Linked DNA regions of Notamacropus eugenii. The main gene of each other region encodes a partner of the protein of the gene in region 2 in a complex. Links are inferred from orthologs where the notes say so. Each region holds a gene or a part of one and is shown on either strand. Other genes may lie near its edges.

Evidence for each region.
Region 1: the proteins of PRIM2 (region 2) and PRIM1 are in contact, whole or in part, in a crystal structure (PDB 5EXR), measured with the Homo sapiens proteins. The link is inferred for Notamacropus eugenii from reciprocal best matches to the Homo sapiens genes PRIM2 and PRIM1. Residues at the interface, in NP_000938.2 of Homo sapiens: Glu165, Ala168, Ser169, Pro171, Ser172, Phe188, Ala189, Leu192, Phe195, Arg196, Gly197, Arg198, Val200, Tyr201, Leu202, Glu203, Asp204, Gly205, Phe206; in NP_000937.1 of Homo sapiens: Lys147, Glu148, Asp149, Phe150, Gly151, Phe152, Ala180, Val181, Gly184, Ile185, Glu187, Tyr188, Ser190, Leu191, Lys193, Lys207, Ile208, His209, Pro210, Ile212, Arg213.

Annotation. Positions count from the first base shown.
Region 1 is NC_092874.1:232,034,189-232,041,170, reverse strand, and holds the start of PRIM1 (DNA primase small subunit), read left to right. Parts: upstream 1-3,982; 5' UTR 3,983-4,117; coding exon 4,118-4,220; intron 4,221-6,982. UniProt on the Homo sapiens protein: Catalytic subunit of the DNA primase complex and component of the DNA polymerase alpha complex (also known as the alpha DNA polymerase-primase complex - primosome/replisome) which play an essential role in the initiation of DNA synthesis.
Region 2 is NC_092873.1:125,584,093-125,591,357, forward strand, and holds the start of PRIM2 (DNA primase large subunit), read left to right. Parts: upstream 1-4,243; 5' UTR 4,244-4,407; exon of another isoform or gene 4,408-4,456; intron 4,457-6,374; 5' UTR 6,375-6,382; coding exon 6,383-6,536; intron 6,537-7,265. UniProt on the Homo sapiens protein: Regulatory subunit of the DNA primase complex and component of the DNA polymerase alpha complex (also known as the alpha DNA polymerase-primase complex) which play an essential role in the initiation of DNA synthesis.

The sequences.
Region 1 (6,982 bases), on a different chromosome or scaffold from region 2:
AAAGATCAAACAGAAGAAAAACAATGAGGAGAGTGTGGTGTCACAGAAGAAAAGAAAAGATGGCATTTCCAGAAAGGTTTGATCTAGATGAGGGGTTCTTAACTTGGGTTCCAAATACCCCTCAGGTGGTACTTGGAATCTATTTGCATAGATTTCAAGAGGGGATCTATGAACTTGGGACTTTTAATAATTTTGATAATCATATTATATAATAATTGATTTCTTTGTAATCCTATGTATTTTATTTTATTTCATACATTTAAAAACATTTATTCTGAAAAGAGCTCTAATAGGCTTCACTAGACTGCCAAAGGGACCCTGGACACTAAAATGGTTAAGAACCCCCAATCAACACAGGGCTTCCAATGTTGCAAAGAAACAGAATGAAGAATGAGAAAAGGTTACTGGATTTAGCAGTTGATAACTTTGGAGACAGCTATTGATCTTGGAAGAATGACAAGGGCTTTTCAAATGCTGCCAAATCCTGACTATCTTAAACAATCCTAGCTGTGGAAGTCCAGCAAAAGGAGAATCCTGGGACTACTTCTGGAAACCAGATTTTCAGGCTACTTACAAAAACTATGTAACCTATGTCAACCATTATAGTTTGTTCTAAGAAACAAACAAAATTAGGCTGCAAGGTGTCAACCTGAAAATTTGGTTAAAGGAGGCAAACAGGCTAGGTGATAAGTAAATCTATATTGTTTGTTCCCTTAAAGCTAGTCTAAGCTAGCTAGCTTGTACATACAAAGTGCCAGAGTCTAAGTTCTGACTGTCTGATGAAAGAATGACCATGCTTAAATGTGTTTTAGAACAATTCCAACTCAGCATGTTTGTGTCACTTAAATTTATGATCTCCATATATGATTAGCCGTATTATGACAAAGGAATTTTCTTAATTGAATAGATGGTAAATACAAAAGATAAGAGAGTTGATAAAGTGTCCATTGAAATTATAACCTAGGATATCTGTGTTTTCTTTACCATTAACATGTCATAACATAGTATGCATCCATAAAATATTAAGATAAGAAAAGGTCTCATTATTCAAGATAGTGTCTCAGGTGAAGGGTCTCATCCTTAATGGTTGTAAACAGAGGAAAGAATGCTCTTAAGTCAGTCCCATCTGGCCAAGGTCAAGTTGACATAGGAGAGGTATTCTCAGAGAACAAAGAAGCTGTTAGTTCCAGGCTCTTCTTCTGGTTGATTAGTTCAGGCTCTGTCGCTTATTGAGGTTATTAAATTGATATTAAATGATTATCAATGGGCAAGCTGATTTCTCTCAAAGCTGGCAAATCATGCATATAGAGATATACATGAGAGTTCGTTGTGAAAATGAGTCCAAGGAAGAATGGAAAAGGGGGACCTTATATCTTCAGAGCAATTTAATTTCCTCTCACTCCTCCCTCCCTTCCCTGCTCAAGATACCTGTGTCAGACAAAATTATAGTCTCCATATGTGTTAACCATAATATGAAAAAGGAATTTCTTAGTAGGATAGATTGCCCATACAATAATATTAAAGAAGGGTCAAAATGTCAATTAAAATTCCAGTCCAAAATGTCTGTGTTTCTTCTATCATCAACATGATATAATATAACAATGTAATTTAATATAACATAATGAAATATAATATAATGTAACATAATATATGTCCATAAACTGCCAAGATAAGAAAAGTGCCATTATTCAAGATAGCATCCCATTCAAGGTGAGTTGTCCTTGGCAGTCAGGAATGTTTCTGGACAGTTTCATCCAGCCTTGTAGTTATTGACACAGGAAGGAGCATTTTAGGTTCACTCAGAGAGCTGATCAAAGCATGTCTGCTATGCTACAGCCCGAAAAGCATTATGGTAGGTTAAGTTCAAAGTGGGCCAAAAAATGCTTTTCTCCTGATTGGTCAATCCAGGTTTTAGGCCTTTCTCAGCTGGGGGGCTCGGGGGTCAAGGAGGTTTGGGGAGGTCTCTGGCTAGTTCACACCTAGGTACTTCTCTGAATGGGAGAAATCAATGAGTAGATGAAGTTCTGCTGACTGAAAGGGAAGTCTGACTTGTGATCTGTGGATAAAATGCGCTCGACTTTCTTCCAACCCCATAAAGGTAAATTATTAGAACAAAAATGGGGATGCCACATCTTCTCCCAACTCCTTGTGAATGCATCCATCCCTCTCTCTTTTTTTTTTAACAGAAAGAAATTTATTGGGAATATTTTGAGAATACATTTGAAAGAATAGGTCAATGTTTTCCAGCAAGGTAGGGAGTAGGGATGCTCATTCACTTCAACCAGAGCAAAGGAAGCCCCATTCAACCCTCTCTACACCTTCTCTGAACATGTTGACATTCTCTCATTGCCCTTCTGGCAGGCAGAACTTCAGCACCTTCTCCAGTATTTCCTCCTGCCAGAGACATGCTCAGACTCACAAAAGCTTTCTCACCTTTGGACATTTTCCTTCAAGATTTGGATCAAATACTTAAGAAATTAGGGCTTTTCCTCGGGGTGTGATAGAGACCTGACTTGGAAGAGCCAATCGCTAAATTTTCATTGCAAGAATTTGCACCCTGAAAATCAGCAAGCTACAAATTGGGGGTTGATTTATTGTTTGGGGGTGGGTGGGAATCAAAGAAGGCTTTGTAAAGGAGGGAGTAATTAAGTTGAACCTTGAAGGAAAATATCCCTCACCAAAGCAATTGCTGCTTTTTCTCAAGGTGTGCTGGAGACTCACGAAAGTCAACTGCTAAATTTTCATTGTGAGAATTTTACACCTCAGAAATCAGCAAGCTACCAGTTAGCTTAATTTACTATTTTGTTTATGACCAAGACTCTAGATTTAAGAACGTGATAGCTTACACAGTAACAGCCATGTTGTTCAGTGACTGACTTTGATAGACTTAGCTCTTCTCAGCAAAGCAAGGACTGAAAACATCTGCAAAAGACTCATGATGGAAAATACCATCCACATCCAGAGAAAGAAATATAGAATCTGAACGCAGATAGAAGCATACTATTTACTCCCTGTTTTGTTTTGTTCTTTCTTTCTCATGGTTCCTCCCATTCGTTCTAATTCTTCTATACAATATTACGAATGTGAATAATAAGAAGTTTTTTAATAAGAAGGTACGTACATGTAGAGCCTATATGAAAGCCTATGCCTGCCTTAGGGAGGGTGGAAGGGAGGGAGGCAGAGAAAATTTAAAACTTATGGAAGTGAATGTTGAAACCTAAAAATAAATTAATTTTAAAAAAAAGAAATTGAAAACAAGAATGCTGGATTTGCAAGAAAGTAATGGAGAAAATGTTAATAATACAGATTTAACTTAAAAGTGTGTCCAGCATACAACCCTTTCCCCTATCCCAGTCAACTGTGAAACATTTACCAGCACTTTTACCCTGTCTGCCTCTCCTCCAGTTTTGTATTTATTCTTGTGCTGTATCTTCCCATACAACACGGGTCGCTTAAAGGCTGGGATTATTTGCTTTCCCTCTTGGTATCCCTAGCGCTTAAGTTGCTTCCTTGCACACAGCAGGTGCATAATAAATGTTGGATGACTGCGGACGATCTCCCTTCCTGTCTCGTTCAAACTCACTTCAAAGGTCAGTCAGTCAGGCTAATGCTTCTCTTTCTTTTAACTAAGAATTATCCCTTAATTTAATTTAACATTCATTGTTTAATGAATTCCAAATGCTCTCCCTCTTTTCGGCCCCTCCCCCGCCCAGGTAAGACATATGCTATCAATTATACATGGGAAATCATGCAAAGCATATTTCCATATTCAGGTTAAGGATTCCTGTAATTCACTTCTCTCCTCAGTGACCGGATGGGGCGGGACTGCGTGATCTTCAACGTCTTCCGGCCTCTAACGAGTCTCTCCAGTTCCCTATGGAGGATACAGAAGTAAATCAGTACTTCCTTCTTCCTTCTCGCGCGCCTGAGCACAAAGTGCTCTCTCCAGTTTACAGTGCCCTATCGAAGAACTACACGTCCCAGAAGGCCCCGCGAAAGACCCTTTCCCGTCGCGCCGCGGGCGCGCCTGTGCAGTGACTTAGACTCGGGATTCCCATTTCCCGCCAAACTGTGAGACTGGGGTTTCTCTTGCCGCTAGACAAAATCCCCGAGGCCCATGGCGGCGTTTGACCCCAACGAGCTGCCTGAGCTGCTCAAGCTTTACTACCGGAGGCTCTTTCCCTTCTCCCAGTACTATCGCTGGCTCAATTATGGCGGAGGTGACCGGGGAATGGGCTCCCGGGAGGGGAAAGCAGCTGCGGGAGGGGGCGGGGGGAGGCGTGGAGAGCCTTGGGGGCGCACGGAATAGGAGTGCCGTCCTCTCCAGGTGGGGAGAGTGACCCAGTCACCCCACTTCTGGGGCCTGGCCTCCTTGAGCCCAGCGCCTAGGAAGCGCTTTGTAAGCGTTAGCCATCCTCATCGTCATTGTTACTGTTGAAGCGCTACATAAATATCGGCTATCGCTGTTGAAGCGCTACGTAAAAGTTAACTGTATTCCTTATTGTTGTCAGATTGAAACTCTATGTAAATGGTAGCTCCCATCATCGCCGACATGCTGTGGAAATATTACCCATCATCGTTATTGTTCTTGTTGAAGCGCTGTGTGTAAAAGTTAGCCATCATCTTGGGCCGTTATTGTTACTGTCCAAGAGCTGCATAAGTGTTAGCGATCGTCATTGTGCAAGCAAGCGCTGCATAAGTGTTAGCGATCGTCATTGTGCAAGCAAGCGCTGCATAAGTGTTAGCTATCATTACTGTGCAAGCAAGCGCTGCATAAATGTTAGCTATCGTCATTGTGCAAGCAAGCGCTGCATAAATGTTAGCGATTGTCATTGTGCAAGCAAGCGCTGCATAAATGTTAGCGATTGTCATTGTGCAAGCAAGCGCTGCATAAGTGTTAGCGATCGTCATTGTGCAAGCAAGCGCTTCATAAATGTTAGCGATTGTCATTGTGCAAGCAAGCGCTGCATAAATGTTAGCTATCGTCATTGTGCAAGCAAGCGCTGCATAAGTGTTAGCGATCGTCATTGTGCAAGCAAGCGCTGCATAAGTGTTAGCTATCATTACTGTGCAAGCAAGCGCTGCATAAATGTTAGCTATCGTCATTGTGCAAGCAAGCGCTGCATAAATGTTAGCGATTGTCATTGTGCAAGCAAGCGCTGCATAAGTGTTAGCTATCATTACTGTGCAAGCAAGCGCTGCATAAATGTTAGCTATCGTCATTGTGCAAGCAAGCGCTGCATAAATGTTAGCGATTGTCATTGTGCAAGCAAGCACTGCATAAGTGTTAGCTATCGTCATTGTACAAGCAAGCGCTGCATAAGTGTTAGCTATCATTACTGTGCAAGCAAGCGCTGCATAAATGTTAGCTATCGTCATTGTGCAAGCAAGCGCTGCATAAGTGTTAGCTATCGTCATTGTACAAGCAAGCGCTGCATAAGTGTTAGCTATCATTACTGTGCAAGCAAGCGCTGCATAAGTGTTAGCTATCGTCATTGTGCAAGCAAGCGCTGCATAAATGTTAGCGATTGTCATTGTGCAAGCAAGCGCTGCATAAATGTTAGCTATTGTTACTGTGCAAGCAAGCGCGGCATAAATGTTAGCTATCGTCATTGTGCAAGCAAGCGCTGCATAAATGTTAGCTATCGTCATTGTGCAAGCAAGCGCTGCATAAATGTTAGCTATCGTCATTGTGCAAGCAAGCGCTGCATAAGTGTTAGCTATCATTACTGTGCAAGCAAGCGCTGCATAAATGTTAGCTATCGTCATTGTGCAAGCAAGCGCTGCATAAGTGTTAGCTATCATTACTGTGCAAGCAAGCGCTGCATAAGTGTTAGCTATCATTACTGTGCAAGCAAGCGCTGCATAAGTGTTAGCTATCGTCATTGTGCAAGCAAGCGCTGCATAAGTGTTAGCTATCATTATGGAAGCGCTACATAGATACTAGTTTATCATTATTGTCCAAGTGCTACATAAATATCACCCTTATTGTTATTGAAGTGCTATATAAATATTAGTTATCGTTATTGTCCAAGCGCTGCATAAATGTTTGTTATCATTATTGTGGAAGCGCTCCATAAATCAACTATCGTTTTATTGTTGTTGAAGCGCTATATAAAAGTTATCTTCATTACTGTTGAAATGCTGTGTAAATGTTAGCCATCATCGACATTAATGCTGAAGCGCCATATAAAAGTTATCGCCATGATTGTTGTTGGACTCTGTAAACATCCTCATTACTGTTACTATCAGTGAGGTTAAAGTATTTCAGGCAAGATGAGGAGGAGCCAGGTCTTCTCTGGGGATGGCTCCTCTCCTCTCTTTTCAGTGCTTCCTCTCACCCCTTCCACATCTAAGTTACTTAATGAATTCTGGTTGGATTGCATTAGAGTAAATTTGTTCTGCTTGCTCCAGAGTACTAAACTAGGAGTAATGGGTAAAAGTTGAAGAGGAAGATGAAGCCTGGAATGAAAAGAAAGTATTTCCAAAAGTAATAGCCTTTGAGAAAGCCCTCTTCACTTAAGGCCCTTTTAAGCAAACCCTGGATGAGTACTTGATTGTGTTGTAGACTGGGTTCTTGTTTTAGTTCTGGGTTGGCCCAGATGCCCTCAGAGGTCCCATCCACCTCTGAGATTTTGAGAATTTTTCCCCTCTCCCCTCCCAGTCTTTTGAGTATCACTGCTTAGAGCTAGGGAAAAAGGAAATTAACAATTTGAGCTTTGAAATCCTAGGGCTCTGGGAACCAGGAGACCTGGGTTCTAATCTACCTTCTGCTAGCTCACTGAGAAAATGAGAGGGTTGGCATGGAATTTTGGATCCCTTGATGTTTGATCTATGAATTCTCCAGGATCATAGAGAGCTTCATAGGCCTAGAAGGGAAAAGGACCTTCAAAATCATCTAATTCAACCCTCTAATTTTACAGATGAGAAAACTGAGGCCCAGAGAGGTTTAGTGACTTTCCCAAAGTCAAATGGTTGATCA
Region 2 (7,265 bases):
CTTCTCACTCCAAATCATATGCCAAAGTGATTTTCCTCAAATACAGATTGGATCATGTCATTCTTTACTCCAACTCATGTGACTATTACTTGTAATCATCATTAATGCTTGTGTTTAGTTTTTAAAGCCTTTCACAATTTACCCCTGATCTATGTTTCTGGTCTCACTGCCCTTTCCACCCTCTATGATCCAGCTAAGCTGGCTGTTTCCCATGTCCTCTCTAACCCTTCCCTATGCAGTGGACCATCCCTTCCAAGAAAGCATGAAAGAGAGAGAGAGAGAGAGAGAGAGAGAGAGAGAGAGAGAGAGAGAGAGAGAGAGAGAGAGAGAGAGAAGGAGAGAGAGAAGGGAGAGAGAAGGAGAGAGGGAGGGAGAGAGATGTTTATCAAAACCAATTAGCTAGACAACCATGTTGGACAGTATATACAATATTTTATACCCGTAGTTCCCCATCTTGGTAAACAATCTAAACAAGTTTCAAAGGACAAAACTACACTCAACCACATTGTGTCTCAAGAACAGTGTCAGAGGGTAAAACGACAGTCTTAACTGTGGGTGTACCCTCAAGCTTTGGTCCATAGCCATCTTTCTATGCTTTGTTAATCTTGCTTACTGTTAAAAGAAACATAGGCACATACACCCAAACACCCACTCTTCACATGGTTGTACATTCTGCCTTATGCCTTTGTGTACTATTAGATGAAATCTTCCCCTTACTAGCTAAATCTATCTATGTATCTATCTATCATCTATGTATCTATCTGTCTTTGCTGTGTTAACCACCACCACTGTCAATAATGAAAAGTTTACTACGTGAAACCCAAAAACTTTGGGGAGTCAGGTTGTAATCCTCCTGAGCAATTGTTTTTTATTGTTTGAATCTGCTTTTATCCTGAGAAAAGATACTGATGAGTATTTATTGTTAGTTGCCATCTGGATCTCCTTAATGACAATGGTGAACATCTTTTATGAGTATACACCTTTATAGCTTGATTACTATTAATGATCAGAGGGTTTCCAAAGAGGTTCTCCTTTTTATATATTTCACAGAATCTTGTATAATTTTACCACATGGACAGGAAGTATTTTTGTAGGAGGAGAGCATCTTGTCCCGCTGAATCAAATACTTTTTTATGGTCATCAATATAAAAAAATAATCACTGCGATCTTGTATTTTGTTAATTGGGTGATGGTAAAAAAAAATTGTGGTCTATTTTAGAATCCTCTTTGCAAAAGCTAATCTCTTTCCTTCTAATGAATTCCCTCATTAGTGAATTTGTATAGGTTTTAAAAGTGAGCATGTCTGGGAAGCTACTAGTGTTTTTTGTTGTTGTTGTTGTTGTACTAATAAAGTTTGAGATTTATTTTTTTCAGTTTTGACATTTTCTCCTCCTTCAGATAGCTTGAGAATCAATCCTTAACACCTTCAAAACTGTGTCACTTCCAACACAGACTTCCTCTTTATATCTTTGGTCTAGTAGTTATTTTTTTTCAGTTTTTGTTTTCTTTAGTGCTCTTTCTATTTCCTCATACAGCACATTCCCAGCTATGATGTTACAACCAGAATACATTGTCCTTGATGGAGAAAGAGTTTGTTATAAAAAAAATTGCAGATCTTTCTCACAGAGTTGTGTGGCACTCCTTAGATCTTATCTTTTGCTTCTATGATTCTAATTTTTTAAAAATTTGATTTTTTATTGACATTGTTGGTTTTTATGTCATCTTAATTTATTAATATATTCATTCCCTTTCACTACCTAGTGGGCCATCCTTCCTAACAAAGCATGAGAGGGAAAAAAATTCATCAAAACAAACCAACTTGTTAAATCTCAATATCTATATGAAACAGATTTTAACTGAAGAAACAACAACCACCAAAAAAACCCAAACACAAATGCAAAGCAAACTAAGAATATATTTTCAAGCTATGTGGACTTCATAAGAGCTGTGTGCCTGAAGTTGCTTTGGTAGGGAGGACACAAAGGATGAAAAGAGATACTCCACCTCCAGAGTCCATGGATCCTAGGAAAAGAAAAGGGTAACAGCAATCTCAAATGAGTTGAAGGATCATTGATTTAGAAGGTGCTGAGGAGGTAACTTTGACATCAAGTCCAGTTCTCTCATTTTACAGAGGAAGAACTGAAGCCCTCATTGCCCAAGGTTAAACAGGTAGAAAGTAGCCCCTCATCCAGTCCAGGACTGGGATTTCAACCCTGATCTTTTGATTCCAAATCCAGCTTTTCCCACTGTATCTGCCATCACAGTCAGGCCCTGAAGAATCTCTTCTTTTGCTCTCTATGTTTAGGGTTCTGCAGCAGCCAGTGACCATCCTCACCTTGAGGCCGAAATCTAGAGTTATTCTGATGCTCCAAGAGCTGACAAAAACTTTAGGGAATCTTAAAAAAAAGTGATACTGATGAATGAATTTTTCCTTCTCTCTGGTTGGACCTAATCAAGCTCATATGTTCACACTTGGGTCAATTTCTGGCCAGGCCACAAACTCTTATCCCTGCAGGGCTCCATCAGTGCTAGGGTTGCAGTCAACCCTCAACACCCCTTACCTCTCTTTAACATCTCATCTTTCAACATCTCTTTACCTCGATGCACATCCCAGTTTCCATTATAAAGAACCGATACTTCCCCCATCAATCAAGCAATCAGTGTTTATGATCACTTTTTTTGATTTTTTTGAGCACTTACAAAGGCAAAAGCTGTCCCTGCTCTCAAAGAGGTCACAGTCTAAGAGGAGAGATAACATGCAAACCGCCATGTATGAATGATATATTTAGGCTGAATTGGAGATAATCTCAGGGGAAAGACTGCTAGCCTCCTTAATGCTAGTGCCCCGTCTCTAAGAGGTATCTTGAATTTATCTTGTAACATATCTTATTTGTAAAAGGTTTCTTGCTAAAAGTGGGATTTTATTAATTAATTTATTTGTTTTCAGTTTTCTATAATCACTTCCATAAATCTTAAGATTTTCTCCCCCTTTGTCCCTCCTTCTTCCTGACTCCCCCCGCCTCCCCAGACTGCATGCATTCTTATATGGGTTCTACACATCCATTCTTACTAAATACATTTTCAACTTAGTCATGTTGCATGGAAGAATTAAAACAAATGGGAGAAACCATGAGAAAAACCAAATCAAAACAAAACACAAGAGAAAATAGTCTGCTTCATTCTGCAATCCAATTCCATAATTTTCTGTGGATGTGGATGACATTTGCCTCAAGAGTCCACTGGGAATTTTTTAGATCCTTGCATCGCACTGCAGTACTAAGTCTGCCAGAAAAATTCCTCCCACACTGTGGTTGTTGTTGTATACAAAGTTCTCCTGGTTCTGCTCCTTTCACTCAGCATCAGTTCCTGTAAGTCCTTCCAGGCCTCTCTGACATCTTCCTGTTCATCATTTCTTATGCCACAACAGTATTCCATTACATTCATGTACCATAATTTATTCAGCCGTTCCCCAGTTGATAGGCATCCCCTTGATTTCCAGTTCTTGACCGCCACAAAGAGAGCTGCTATAAATACTTTTGTACATGTGGGACCCTTTCCCATTTCTATGATCTAGAAGCACTAGTGCTGGGTCAAAGGGTATGCACATTTTTGTGACCCTTTGGGCATAGTTCCAAACCACTCTCCAGGATGGTTGGATGAGCTCACATCTCCACCAACAATGAATCAGTGTTCCAACTCTCCCACATCCTCTCCAGCATTGGCCGTCTTGTTGTTCTGCCGCCTTAGCCAGCCTGATAGATGTGATGTGGCACCTCAGAGTGGTTTTGGTTTGGGACTCTCTAATCAGTAGTGATTTAGAGCATTTTTTCATAGGACGACAGATAACTTTAATTCCTTCCTCTGAACCCTGCCTGTTTATATCCTTTGACCATTTATCAACTGGGATGAAGGTGGGATTTCAGAGGCGACAGGAGGAAACCAGGAAAAAATAAAAACAAAAATCCAAACCAAACAATCTGTCCCTCCCTTCAGAGAGCGGACAGCCTGACGGGTACAGAGGCGTATACAAATCAGAACACACTAGATAGATTGTAGAATAAATGGGTGCGTCCTTGGAGTAAGTGAACCCCGCTTCCGGGATGCCACCACAGAAGAACCAGCCCGAGCCTGGGGGACCTGGAACTTCAGGGGCGGGGCGGAAGGACGGCGGAAGCAGGGCGGGGCTCCGGGAGCTAGGGGGCGGGGCGCCAGGCATGAGGGGCGGGGCCAGCCCAGAGGGGGCGGGCCTGGCCTGGCCCTGGGGGCGGGGCCAGTCCGGGGGCGGGACCGGCGCGAGTGGTGACGACTTCCGCCTCCATCCGAAATCTCCCGCCTTTGAGAAGCGCTGAGTCCTGGTTCTGAAGGGAAGGGGTCCCGGCACGTTTAGGGCACTTGGGGCTGCCGCAGGTAACAGCTTCGCGTGAGGGTCTTGGGACGCGTTTCCTCTTTCCACCCTGTGAGTAGGTTGGCTTTGTTTCCCCGGGTCCGGGGAGTCCCGGAGTGTGTGCCGGGTCCCTGCTTCCCCTTGCGGGGACTGGGCTTGAGAAGCGGGGCTGGTACTGGGGGGCCTGGGGGGAGAGGGAGAAGCTTGTGCCGGGTGAGTGGTGCCTGGGGGGCGGCGCGCTTCGCCTCCCTGGGAGCTCCACGTCTGGGAAGGTCGAGCTCTGGAATCTCCATGCTTGCGTCCCTCCCCATCCTGTACCCCCCCCCCCCCCCTTTACCCTCTGGGGGCCATTGAGAGTAGCAGGACCTCCGTCCGGGTAGGGAGGGCTTGAAAACCGGGGGTGTGGCGCCCGGAGCCACGGCGTGACTGGGTCGGGTCACAGGCAGCAAGTGTGGCCGGGAGGGCTGCGCTTGAGATCCGGTGAGGCCATGGTTTGAACACCACCTTCTGCACTTAATAGCAGATCACTTAACCTTTGCTAAGTCAGTTTTCTCGTGGGGCTAATCCCGATTGTAGTGTCCCCTCTTTCTCAGTCGTTCTGGATCCTTTCTGACCTCACTTGGGGTTTTCTTGGCAAAGACACTGGAATGGTTTGGCACGTCCTTCTCCAGCTCGTGTTAGAGAGGAGGAAAGTGGGGCAGATTGGGTTCAATGACCTGTCTGGGATCACACAGCTAGGAAGTGTCCGAGGCCACATTCGAACTTGGGAAGATAGGTCTTCCTGACCTTAGGTCTGACACCATCCACCGGGCCATGGTGGTTCAGACAGAGTGAGAAGTGACTGCGTCTCTTTATCAATTTATATACAGTGGCAGCATGAACCAAGAAGCAGTTGTGTCTCTCCATTTATATACCGTTCTTTCATGATCTATTTAACAATTGGATTTTACATATGTCGTGTTTAATTGTTTAGATTTGACCTTGCACTTTTAACGTGACTAGGTATTGGATTGTTTATCCCTGTCAAAGGTAATATATGGTCAAAACGACTTGTAAGTCTGTTCCCTTAGCTGAATAAAGTAAAAATACCTATGATTGTGGCCAAGCCATTTAACTTTTCAGTGGCCAGCTGTTCTGTGTAGGTGGAACAAGATTTCCAACCCAGAGTTCTCCACACTAATGAAAGCACATTTCGAGACTGAAAAAAAAGAGAAAAGAAAAGGAAAAAGGCACCTGTTTCATAAAGTTGTATGTAAAGCAGTTTGCAAGATGGTATAAATGTTAAATGTCATTGATTGGCACAGATTTTTTAAGTGAAATTGATGGGCCACTGCACTCCTCTTTGTCCTCCTACTCCTCATAATAAACATATATGTCTGTAGTTCTGTAAGGTGTATAGTGTATTTTTCTTACAACAGCTCTGTTAGGCAGATAGTATAAGTGTTGATAATAGCCAACATTTACTTAGGGACTACTATGTGCCAGGCACTGGAATAAGTACTTTACAACTATTATCTTATTCGATGCTCGTAACTACTCTGGGAGGGAGCTGCTATTATTATCCTCATTTTACAGTTCAGGAAACTGAGGCAGAAAGAAGTTAAATGACTTTCTCAGGGTCACACAGCTAGTAAGTATCTGATTGGATTTGAATTCAGTCCAAGGGAGAGCTGATGATCACCTGAACTAAGGTGACAGCTTGGAGATGGATAAGAAACATGGTGTGGAGGTTATCAACAAGCAATCATCATGAGACATATGTGAAAACCAGGCTTATTACAAGAGAAATGAACGTGCATGTGGAACCCAAAGAGTTCAAGTCTTTACAGAATGTATAATTGGTAGAATTCCTTACTCTGAGACCAGTAACACATACCTCTTAACATGTATGTTGGTGAAAATTAGGAACGCTCCTCAAGTGGGCAAAGTTGAAAGCTGTCTTGCTATATTTTCAACTAATCTTTATTTATTTATTTATTTATTGCTTAAGTAACAAAGATGCAGTTTTCTGGATCAAGGAGAAAGAAACTGAGTCTGGCAGGGGACCAGAGAGGTGCTTCCTATCCTCATAGCCTTCAGTTCTACCTACAACCTCCTTCTGAAAACATATCTTTGGCAGAGTTTGAGAATCTAGCTATTGAAAGGCTTAAACGTGAGTGATATTTTACATTGTAACTGTTTAAGCAAGGTAACTTTGTATGTTTAAGTAAGGTAATTTTGGATCACTCATTTCTTTGAAATTCAGGTACATGTTAGCCCTGAATTCTAATTTACCACAACTGTTGACTTGAAGTGGGTTCTGAAATGGTTAGTACTGTTGGGAAGGATAGATAAGTTACTTCCTTTCTTTGTTTTTTGAATTTTAAATAATATTTTATTTTTTTCCCAATTGTACATAAAAACACTTTTTAACATTTTTTTTAAATTTTGAGTTTCAAATTCTCTCCTTCTCTCCCCTTCCCCCTCCTTGAGAGGGTAAGCAATTTGATGTAGCTTATTCATGTGCAGTCCTACAAAAGAAATCCCTATATTAATCATATTGTGGAAGAAAACACAAAAACAACACCAAAAATAAAGAAAGCAAAAAAAAAAAGAAACCCAACATGCTTGGATCTTCAGACTCCATCAGTCTTTCTCTGGAGGTGGATGGCGTTTTTAATCTTGAATCCTTTGGAATTGTCTCGGATTATTCTGTTGCTGAGAATAAATTAGGATCATTGTAGTACGTTGCTGTTACTGTGTACCATGTTCTCCTGATTCTGATCACTTCAGGATAAGTTACTTTCAAAGAGCCATTGATTGCTAAGTGTAACAGTTTCTTCATGGCAATCATTTTGATGACTTGGTGTCTATATTTCTGCATTACCATGGTATATCAGTT